Arabidopsis thaliana: one gene and its partner. Each later gene encodes a partner of the first gene's protein in a complex. Each region holds a gene or a part of one and is shown in the gene's direction. Other genes may lie near its edges.

Region 1 (3,825 bases):
TTGATTTGGAAAATGCATGACATATATTTCAAACCAGATAAAGTGAACCATTTCAGTCTGAATTCAATTGAATAATGTTAATATGAAGACCAAGTTGAATTTTAATGTGGGGAATTAAGCTTCTTTGGAAGGTACTAACCAAATTCAAATATAAATATATTCTTTGAAAATTTGAAACATAATTCATTATGAAGTAAATATTAAATAAAACAGAAAGTGTTCCATACTGAATTATAGTTTCATTTTGAATACTATTCTATACAAAAATAAAAACAATAAAAAAAAATTGAGAGAAATATTAGCAATGAAAACAAAACTATCAAAGAATTGTTTTTGAAGTTAAAAAATATAAAATTTCAAAGTTCGAGGTCGGTGGCTAACTAACATGAAAAGCGCCGAGCAACTTGTGATATGTACGAGTTGGACCAAGTCGTGACGACTTTTTTAATAAGCTTAAGATCCAATTATTTCTCAAGAAAAACAGTAAAACGTACGCCAACATATATTAACTACGACGACAAAATTCTTGGCCTTTAAGAAAGACTAGTACACGATCAATCCCAACGATTAAACCAGCAGACGAGTAACCATATGTAGGGTACGAGTTTCTCAACCACATCTCCAACTTTTCAGTAGACGATCTAATTATGTTTAACCACTAGAAGCCGACACCATAAACATCCATCCGAGGTTATCGTCTTTCGAAGAGTTCCTAACGAGCATTCATGAAACATCATTCTCACTTCTCCTCCCACTAAACCGACTTTTTTCGGATGTTATTTCAAATTTGGTTAATTGCTAAATGATTGACCATTAATTCGACCACGTGATTACACAAAGAGACGTTTAGATCCACTACATTGGTGCGATGTGAAGTGATCACCATGCTTTAGTTTACACGTCCACTTTATATAGGTTTGGCAGTTAAAAAAAAGAAGTTTTATACATAGTTCTATCAAGTGGTCTTAGACCGAATCTTGGCAATATATTTGTTATAAGACTACCAATATCATTAATGATTAGAGAAAGTTAATGTTAAGTTTCATCAGATTCTAATTTAAAACCAATGGGTAATGATTGGATTGGTTGTGTTCCATATATACTAGTGTTAGCACTTAGCAGTCATGAGTGTGTTTACTCCATTTATAGTATACTTTCGATGTAGGATCCTAATTAGAATGATAAAGAAACATTCCAAAAGAGTATTATCAAAATGCTCTTCGTCTATCCATACAAATATAATGAGATTTGGGCAGAAACAACCATTTTGTTAACATATTAGGGTCGAGCGCAGAAAAAAATATATTTTGACCTGTGTTAATAAAATAGAATAGGTTGCGATTTTAATTAAGGAGGTTAATAAATTAAAATCGTAAAAATGATACCAAAATGGTAACAAAATCGTAAAGAAAAGTTCATTAGTATAAATATAAAAAATTCGGTCCAACAAATATTACTATTAAAAATTTATAAGAGAGATTTATAATAAAAAAAAAATTGTTATACCAAGAAAGAAAAGGAGATTCTTGTATTGTAACCCGTTTGTGTGTCTTTTTTAGTCTCAGATTTGTTTTAATTTTCTATGACTTAGGATTTGTAAGTCTTTTTTGGATTTCTAGAACCTGATCGAGGAAATTTCAATGAATATAGTGTAATTGGTTTGTTTGGATTTTGTTCCCTTTGTTTACCTTGTTTGGTATTTGGCTTCGGGAGTGTTCTTGTACTCATCGGCTTATGTCTCCGGAAGTGGTTTGTACTTGCCGGCTCTTGTATTTCAACTTGAATCCTATCGATGAAAATCCTATTGACAAAAAATGAAAAAAAAAATGAAGCTTCCATCATCCATCATTCAGTGGCAGCATAAGCATTTAAGACTACGTGCCGTTTAAGGCCAAGACAAACGGCACTCAGTTCCCTTTTGAAATGGTCAAATGGCGATTGAGTTGTTTTCCTCTCTCTCTCTCATTTTTTCAATTAAAGAAGGGAAAGAGGGGAAATCTCTGATCGGAGAGAAAGATCGAATCGAAGAATGGCAGAATTCGTTGAAGCTGATAACGCAGAAGCAATAATCGCGAGGATCGAAACCAAATCGAGGAAGATTGAAAGCCTACTCAAACAGTAATATCAGACCTTGGAGCTAAACCCTAAAGTCTTCTTTTGTTTTTGGTTTAATCCCTTATCGGTGTTTTAATGTGTGCAGGTACAAACATGTAGAAGCTTTGAAAACGGCTCTTGAAGGTTCGCCTCCGAAAACTCGCGATGAACGTTGCAAGGTCTCTCTCTTTCCGAAACCATCTTTTTTTTTTTTTTTGATTTACTGAGCCAAAAAAAACTCAACTGCAGTCGGCTAATTGGATAGTTGTGCACAGAGCTTTAATGGCCATTAAGGATATTGACGGAATGCTCAATGCTCTTGATGTCGAATATTACGACATTCTCATGAAGTAAGTGCAAAGTTGGTTTTTTTTTTTTTTGCTGTAATGCGTTTTGTAATATGTATGAATTGGAAAGCTCTATCCTCAGGCTGTCTGTGCTCTTTGATAGAATGTTTTTGCTTAAAATTCTCAGGTACTTGTACAGAGGACTTTCTACTGGGGACCGACCCACCTGCGATCAGTGCCTGAAGATTCACGAGAAACTCACTGAGAGAGCTGGTCTCGGTTGCATTCTCCGATGTCTTACTGATACCATCAACACCGTTTGATCCATCATTCCCTCTTATGTATTATTACTTGATGCCTTGATGTTTCCAATGTGCATATTCTCCTTGAGGAACCATGTCTCACATTTATCAGTTTTAGACTTGTATTTTCATTACCAAACAGTTGCTTGATAAATGATAACACAAGTCATTCCTAGAGCTCATGTGTAACATAATTCCCGGATCAGCTGAATCATAAATACGAAGACCAAGTTGTGATTAAGTAATTTTAGGGGGGTGTATTGAAACCAGAATCTTTTAGAAGATTTGGTGGAATTTGCATTCTTCTACAGACCAAATCCATTCTCGATTTTGCCGGTGAAGAACAGAGACCGAAAGCTTTTTTCATGGAAGACGAGGGGAGGAGGACAATGAGAATATGTCGCAGAGATTTTCTGTGAATCTTTTTTTAAATCAAATCGTTCAGAATAACACCTACAGGTGAGATTTTTTCATGCTTATTTTCAACTAAATTTTTTTGCCTAAGTCTCCCAGAATCAATGTTAAATGTTTTTAATGAAATTGTTTTGTTGAGTTTAGATAACAGTGGATTTAAGATGTGTTTTATAAATTCTTGAATGAATAACAGAAGATTATAGATTCTTTTGAGTGATTTTATATAAATTCCAATTTCAATAACAAAGGATTTGAGAAAAAAATTACAAATCACAAGTTGAATACAACCATTCCTGATTCACTGAATGTTCATAACTCGAAGGCCCAATATCGAACTCAGCCCATTGAAACTAAATTCATTTCTAAACTTTCAATGTAAATGCACTCGTCATACAAGAGTAAATGTTCACATAGTTAGTCATTGATTTAAACAATTTTACTCTTTAGATTTTTAAAATTTTATAGGATTGTAATAAACCAGGTTGAATTCAAATGTCAAATAGCGTTAAATAAAAGTTTAGATCTTTTTTTTTTTTTTTTTTTTTTTTATCAACGTTAGTACAAGAAGAAACAAGAGCAGCTTTTGCCAAAGCATCAGCTTGATCAACGTTTCCTTATAAAAGACAAAAGCAATTAAGTTTTTACTTTTACAGTCTTTTTGATCAAATTAAATGAGTAATTGAGTAGTAGTAGTAACAAAAGGGAATCCCAGAAATAGTAGTTGCTTT
Region 2 (6,003 bases), on another chromosome or scaffold:
TCTTCTGGATTTGAAAAAGCTTTTGGCTTTTGTTTTGTGATAATATTGTTGTAATTTGTACCACCATGGAGAAGAAAAAGAAAAGGTTATATACTGAGTGAGAGTGATAATCTATACTTATTGAAACCTCTGCAAAAACACAAGGTGAGTTCAATTTGAGGATGATGATACAAGAGAGTGGAATCTTCAAACCTTTTTTTCCGAGTGTTTGTGACAATTTTTTGGCAGTTGTTGTTTGAACTTGCAGGTGGAGTTTGTTGAATACACACAGCCAGAGATTTTTTTGTTTGGAGTCTTTAAGTTGCAGAGAGGCTTGTTTTTACTTGTTCTGAGTTTTGTTGCTTTTGAATATCAAGAAACCGGCTTTTTTCAGATAGTACAACAATGGTAATGTATACTTGTCTTCCATCACATATTTGTAGAATGAAGATTTATAGCTCTCTTTTGCTCAGTATTCTTCTATTGCATCTCCAAAGATTGTTCTCTTTCGTTCGATCTCTCTGAATGAGTTAAAGACTTTCGTTTAGAGTCGAGTGTAAAACACTTCGCTGCATGTTCTGATTCAGTGGCTTTGAGCTGCAATGGATTTCACAATGATGGTAACGTTGTATTCTTTAACTCTTACTTACATTCATGTTATTGCCCTGAGTGTGCCGTTAACTGTGGGAAGGTTTTGAACTAGGTACAAACCCTTCGCAGTTGGGAACCAAATAAGCTGGTATTGCATTTACTCTTTGCCTTGCAAGCTTTTTCAAAGATAAGTATAAATTGTTCAACGAGTCAAAAAGTTTATATCATTTTACTCATTTTGACTTGAATTTGACGGAACTAAGGAAAGAGACTAAGAGAGAGAGAGAGAGAGAGGTTAACGAGTCAAAAAGTTGCTTGATCTCTATGATTTGTCCAACCAATCAAAACAAGTGAAGAAAATTCAAAAACATTCACAAAGCTCTCTCTTTCCCTTTTGAGCAATGATCTAACTCAACACTATGGTCCAAATACAACTCCAATAGATCCATTCCAAAGCCTCCCTCATGATGAGAGCGTGACTTAAGTTGCTTACTCTTTTAATTTCCATTCTCTTCGACACATTGGGCAAGGAGCTTGACTTGTCTACGAATTCTTCCATTTCAATATACAGAAGTGAAGATGAAACGCGTGGTTACTTTGAGGTCTAAGACATGCAGTTTTGTTCTTACCAGAACTAAATAAAGCAGCTTAGCAATGTTCCAGTAAGCATGAGAGACAGTGTGTGTCCTAATTAACCTATATAAAAGTGAAAACATGAAAGCTGATTTTACATCGAACAAGTCATTGGACTTGTGTGTGTGAAACTGTAAAAGTCTTATCTTATTTTTACTATATTGGTGACTGATACATAACATGTTGTGACAGGAACTTAATTTACAACATGTTATGTAGAATAAATTTTAGTATTGAGACAACATAGAGACAACAAAAAAACCTAGAAGAAGATTGATATCCCAACTTCGTACCAAAACCCTAGTAACATCTTTCTCGTAACATAACCCTAATAGTGATTGAAATCTCTGATCAAGGGATTGCATGATGATCATTTACTAATTCTTAGTTTAGATCATCTAGAAGATTGTTATACAAGTAAACAGAATTATCTGTTTGACCTAATATGGGCCTGAGATAGCCCATCAATACCCACAACCAAGTTAACTCCATCTCAATAATTCGAGAAAAGGGGTAACGTATTTAATAATTTTTTCTATGTATTGACCGTTTGCACTACGTGACGTTTTCACGTAGAGTAAACGACGCGCATTCTTATAAAGAAACGAGGAAACAGCTGCTTTTTGTTTGTCGAAGAGCAAATATGTTTTCTCGATCGCGACCAAACAAGTAGAGAAGAGTGATTCTTCGCTTCGATTCAAAGACAGGTTTTTTCTTTTGTTCCCTGAGAGATCGAATCGAAGAAATCGAAATTTTTGTACTTCGATAAAAATCTGTAGTCTCTATAGAAATCGGAGAAGATGGACAACAAAAACGTCGTCGTTTGCGACAACGGCACCGGTGTAAGCTTCTTCTCTCTGATATCTCTTGTTTCAGACTCCGAACTTTAGTTGAATCTGATCAATCATTCCATTCCTATCTGGGTTTCGTTAAAAATCTCACTTTTGAGTTTGTTTAGGATCTAGTTGTCTTAAAGTTGCAAAATTTGAAAACTTTCATGTCTTAGCATAGTGTAAGATCGTGTTTCTATTGAAATCAAAACTAATACATGAGAAATCTCATAATGGGTTGCTTAAGTTTTGAGTTTCTTGTGATGGGAACAAATTGTGAGCCTCTTATTAAATTTTTCAGTATGTAAAATGTGGATTTGCTGGAGAGAATTTCCCAACGTCTGTTTTCCCCTGTGTCGTGGGAAGGCCATTGCTTCGGTATGAAGAATCACTCATGGAGCAACAAGTCAAGGTTTGTAGATATGTGACTTTAAATAAGCAAAACCAGATCATTGTTAGCCTTTTGAGTTTTGACTGAGCTGATATGCGTAATTCGGATTCATATACGTTTTGGTTTTGTTTCATTTTAGGATATAGTTGTTGGGGAGACTTGCTCTGAGCTCCGGCATCAATTGGATATAAATTATCCTGTCCACAATGGTATTGTGCAGAATTGGGATGATATGGAACATGTTTGGGATCATGCTTTCTATAACGAATTGAAAGTAAGTTTCTTCTCCTGCTTCTTCTTGCCATTTTTGTCTCGGTTCCATGTGTCTTGACTTACTCTTAAACCCTTTTTGTTATTAACAGATCAATCCATCTGACTGTAAGATATTGCTCACGGATCCACCTCTTAATCCGTCCAAGAATCGTGAAAAAATGGTAAGATATTATCAAGTCTTTGGTTAAGAGTTGCTTTGATGGTTGTTGGAGCAGTGATTTATTTTATGTTATAAAACAGATTGAGACAATGTTTGAGAAATACAATTTCGCTGGCGTTTTCATTCAAATCCAAGCCGTTTTGACTCTCTATGCTCAAGGTGCTTATGGAGACTATTGAAGGTTTAGATTTTCTTTCGTGTGTTTAGATAGTCACCTGTAAATAGCATTTATGTGTGCTTCCCTGATATTTTTCTTCATGTGTTGAACTCTTGGTTTCAGGTTTGCTAACTGGTTTGGTTATTGATTCTGGTGATGGTGTTACTCATGTGGTAAGCTATAAACCTCTGTAATTTTTTAGATCATATATTGCTTATAATAGAGAAGTTAACCGTCTTCGCCTCACATCTTAGGTTCCGGTGGTTGACGGCTACTCGTTCCCTCATCTTACTAAAAGAATGAATGTTGCTGGCAGACACATAACAGCATATCTCGTTGATCTACTATCTCGACGAGGGTGAGAAACTGATTCATAGACTCACATTCATTTTAATGATGTTGAGATGTTTTAAATTAGCTAAACTAAAAGACTGTTTGTTCAACAGATATGCGATGAACAAAACAGCTGACTTTGAGACGGTTAGGGAAATTAAAGAGAAGCTCTGCTATATAAGGCATGCAAAGACCTCTTCTCAGCTTTCCTCTAATATCTGTGTAGTAATGCATTACTAGAATAGGAAATAAACACAATTTGTTTTGTCTTTTTTTGCAGTTATGATTACAAGAGAGAATCTCAGCTTGGCCTTGAGACAACTATCCTTGTTAAGAATTATACTGTAAGTCTCTCTCCTGGTATGAACCTGTCAGGTGTGTGAATTTTCAAGGTTTCGATGGCAAATAGAGGCAAGAAACAGAAACTAGTGTACGTTAAGCTAATAGGAATCCAAACTCATGATCAGAACTAAATAGATAGCAGATTCTTGGCGAACTTGAGCCTGTAGAGAACTTTAAAGATTCGTGCCATCATTCCTTTGTTCTTTTTGGTAATGAAAGAATGATATTATCATCTTTTCTTTTCATGACATCGTTTCTCTGTTCTTGGGCGCTGTGTTTGGGATTTTTCATCCGATAGTCGATAAAGTTTCATACTTGTGCCAGTTGCAGCCTCTAAAGCTGATATTATCACCAAATTATTTTTTTTCCAGAGTACTAACCCGTTGTGTTTTTGAACTGTGATCAGCTTCCAGATGGGAGGGTTATCAAAGTAGGCACTGAAAGATTCCAAGCACCTGAAGCGCTTTTTACTCCGGTAAACCTTCATCGCGTCCTCTGCTAATTTCTCTTTTGGAATAGTTTCAACCCTCCAAGAATCTCGAGGCTGATCACAACCAAATATTTTTTCAGGAACTCATTGATGTTGAAGGTGATGGAATGGCAGACATGGTTTTCCGATGTATTCAAGAAATGGATATTGATAACCGCATGATGGTTCGTGTGACTCTTACGCTTGCTTGGTATTTCAAAAGAAAGATCCAACAAAACTAATCATTTATCTGTCTTAAACCCTTTGCTCTTTTTTCACAGCTCTACCAACACATAGTTTTAAGCGGAGGTAGCACCATGTACCCAGGATTACCTAGCCGGTTCGTATATTTTTTCTTCATCATAACCCAGCAAGAAGTTCCATTGTTTTATGTTTCATTGTCTTTTATTCTCTGTTTGTTTCAGTCTTGAGAAAGAAATACAGGATCGGTATCTCGACACAGTTCTAAAAGGAAACAAAGATGGCTTGAAGGTAAAAAAGATGATTCTGATAATGCCATGATCACTGTCAGTCATTAGCTCAGTTTTTAACATTTATCTTCGTTTTTCTTATCAATCAGAAACTCAGATTGCGGATCGAAGATCCACCGAGAAGGAAACACATGGTATACCTCGGAGGTGCTGTTCTTGCAGGAATCATGAAGGTAAGAGAAAAGTTCAATGCTATTCTCTCTTTTAACACGAAAGCATGAAATTTTAGTCTGTGTTATGATGTTAAGAGAATTTGGATTCGATGTTGCAGGACGCACCAGAGTTCTGGATCAATAGAGAGGACTATATGGAAGAAGGAATTAATTGTTTGAATAAAATGAGCCAAGCTTAATAACTTTCAAACGCAGAACTCATACTTGTACTTGTACCCCTTTTTTTTACTACCGTCAGGATGATTTAATTCCGTTTGTGAATTCAGTATTTTAGGTTTCAAAGTTTGAGTACAATTGGTTGCAGTTAGGGATCCAAAATTCGACATGTGATTGGTGGGATATACAGAAAAACGTGTATTAACTAATAATGTTGAGACTAATATATTGTGTAATAACCAAAGCCAAAAGGTCGAGAAGAGACGAAATGCATATATCTTAATTCTTGAGTAAGCAAACAGAGTCAAAACAGTGAAAGATTATTTGTAATTTTGAAAAGGAACCCTATTTCTTGCCACACAAGGTAGATCCCTATTGTTTTCTGTTAAAACCCAAAAGATTGCCACAACTCTGAATTGATGGAACCAGCTTCCTTCTACTGCATGTTCTGCAGCTAGTCTAAGTACAGCAGCTTCAAGCTAGATCAAAGACAAAATGATTACCTAACCTGCCATGAGTAAAAAAGGATTTGAAAACTTTTAAATTAACTAGAAACAAAAAAAACTGATTTACAATCCCAAAATAAAAAACTGTAAAAACTTTTTGAGGTCTTAATATGGGCTTTGGCCCAATAACGGCAACACCGTGTCAGAAACGTTGGTGTTGGTGACTGTTAAACTACCTCAACGACATATAAAACATTATGAGCGTTGGCCCAATAAAGAGATATAGGCCCATAAAGTTATAGAGAAATCACCCGGTGGTTCATCCAAATCTAACCACGACGAAGATTATTTCCAAACTGCTCAAACTTCTCCGGCGAGTTTTGGAGACATTATCGGAAAACGGCGCCATTTTATTAACCGTGATTTTCGTTGGCTCCTTCACTGCTAATTGTTAGCATCATCGCAACAATCTCCTTCTTCTGATTGATTCTCTCTGTAATTTCCTCTTCGCGCTTGTTTTTTCCGTATTTGCTTTCTACTGAAATTGGTCTCTGGTTATCTCTCGTAGATTAGGGTTTA

The links.
Region 2: CRK (region 1) and ARP2 share a complex: the UniProt entries of both Arabidopsis thaliana proteins name them as parts of the arp2/3 complex.

Annotation. Positions count from the first base shown.
Region 1 is NC_003075.7:733,747-737,571, forward strand, and holds CRK (ARP2/3 complex 16 kDa subunit (p16-Arc)), read left to right. Parts: upstream 1-1,906; 5' UTR 1,907-2,029; coding exon 2,030-2,118; intron 2,119-2,200; coding exon 2,201-2,273; intron 2,274-2,343; coding exon 2,344-2,444; intron 2,445-2,568; coding exon 2,569-2,704; 3' UTR 2,705-3,219; downstream 3,220-3,825. Other genes in the region: AT4G01703 (uncharacterized protein), read right to left, coding at 506-619. UniProt on the Arabidopsis thaliana protein: Functions as a component of the Arp2/3 complex which is involved in regulation of actin polymerization and together with an activating nucleation-promoting factor (NPF) mediates the formation of branched actin networks.
Region 2 is NC_003074.8:9,951,785-9,957,787, reverse strand, and holds ARP2 (actin related protein 2), read left to right. Parts: upstream 1-1,805; 5' UTR 1,806-2,003; coding exon 2,004-2,045; intron 2,046-2,334; coding exon 2,335-2,445; intron 2,446-2,563; coding exon 2,564-2,698; intron 2,699-2,786; coding exon 2,787-2,858; intron 2,859-2,937; coding exon 2,938-3,016; intron 3,017-3,137; coding exon 3,138-3,187; intron 3,188-3,268; coding exon 3,269-3,372; intron 3,373-3,460; coding exon 3,461-3,529; intron 3,530-3,627; coding exon 3,628-3,691; intron 3,692-4,095; coding exon 4,096-4,164; intron 4,165-4,259; coding exon 4,260-4,343; intron 4,344-4,439; coding exon 4,440-4,498; intron 4,499-4,583; coding exon 4,584-4,650; intron 4,651-4,738; coding exon 4,739-4,822; intron 4,823-4,920; coding exon 4,921-5,001; 3' UTR 5,002-5,309; downstream 5,310-6,003. UniProt on the Arabidopsis thaliana protein: Functions as ATP-binding component of the Arp2/3 complex which is involved in regulation of actin polymerization and together with an activating nucleation-promoting factor (NPF) mediates the formation of branched actin networks.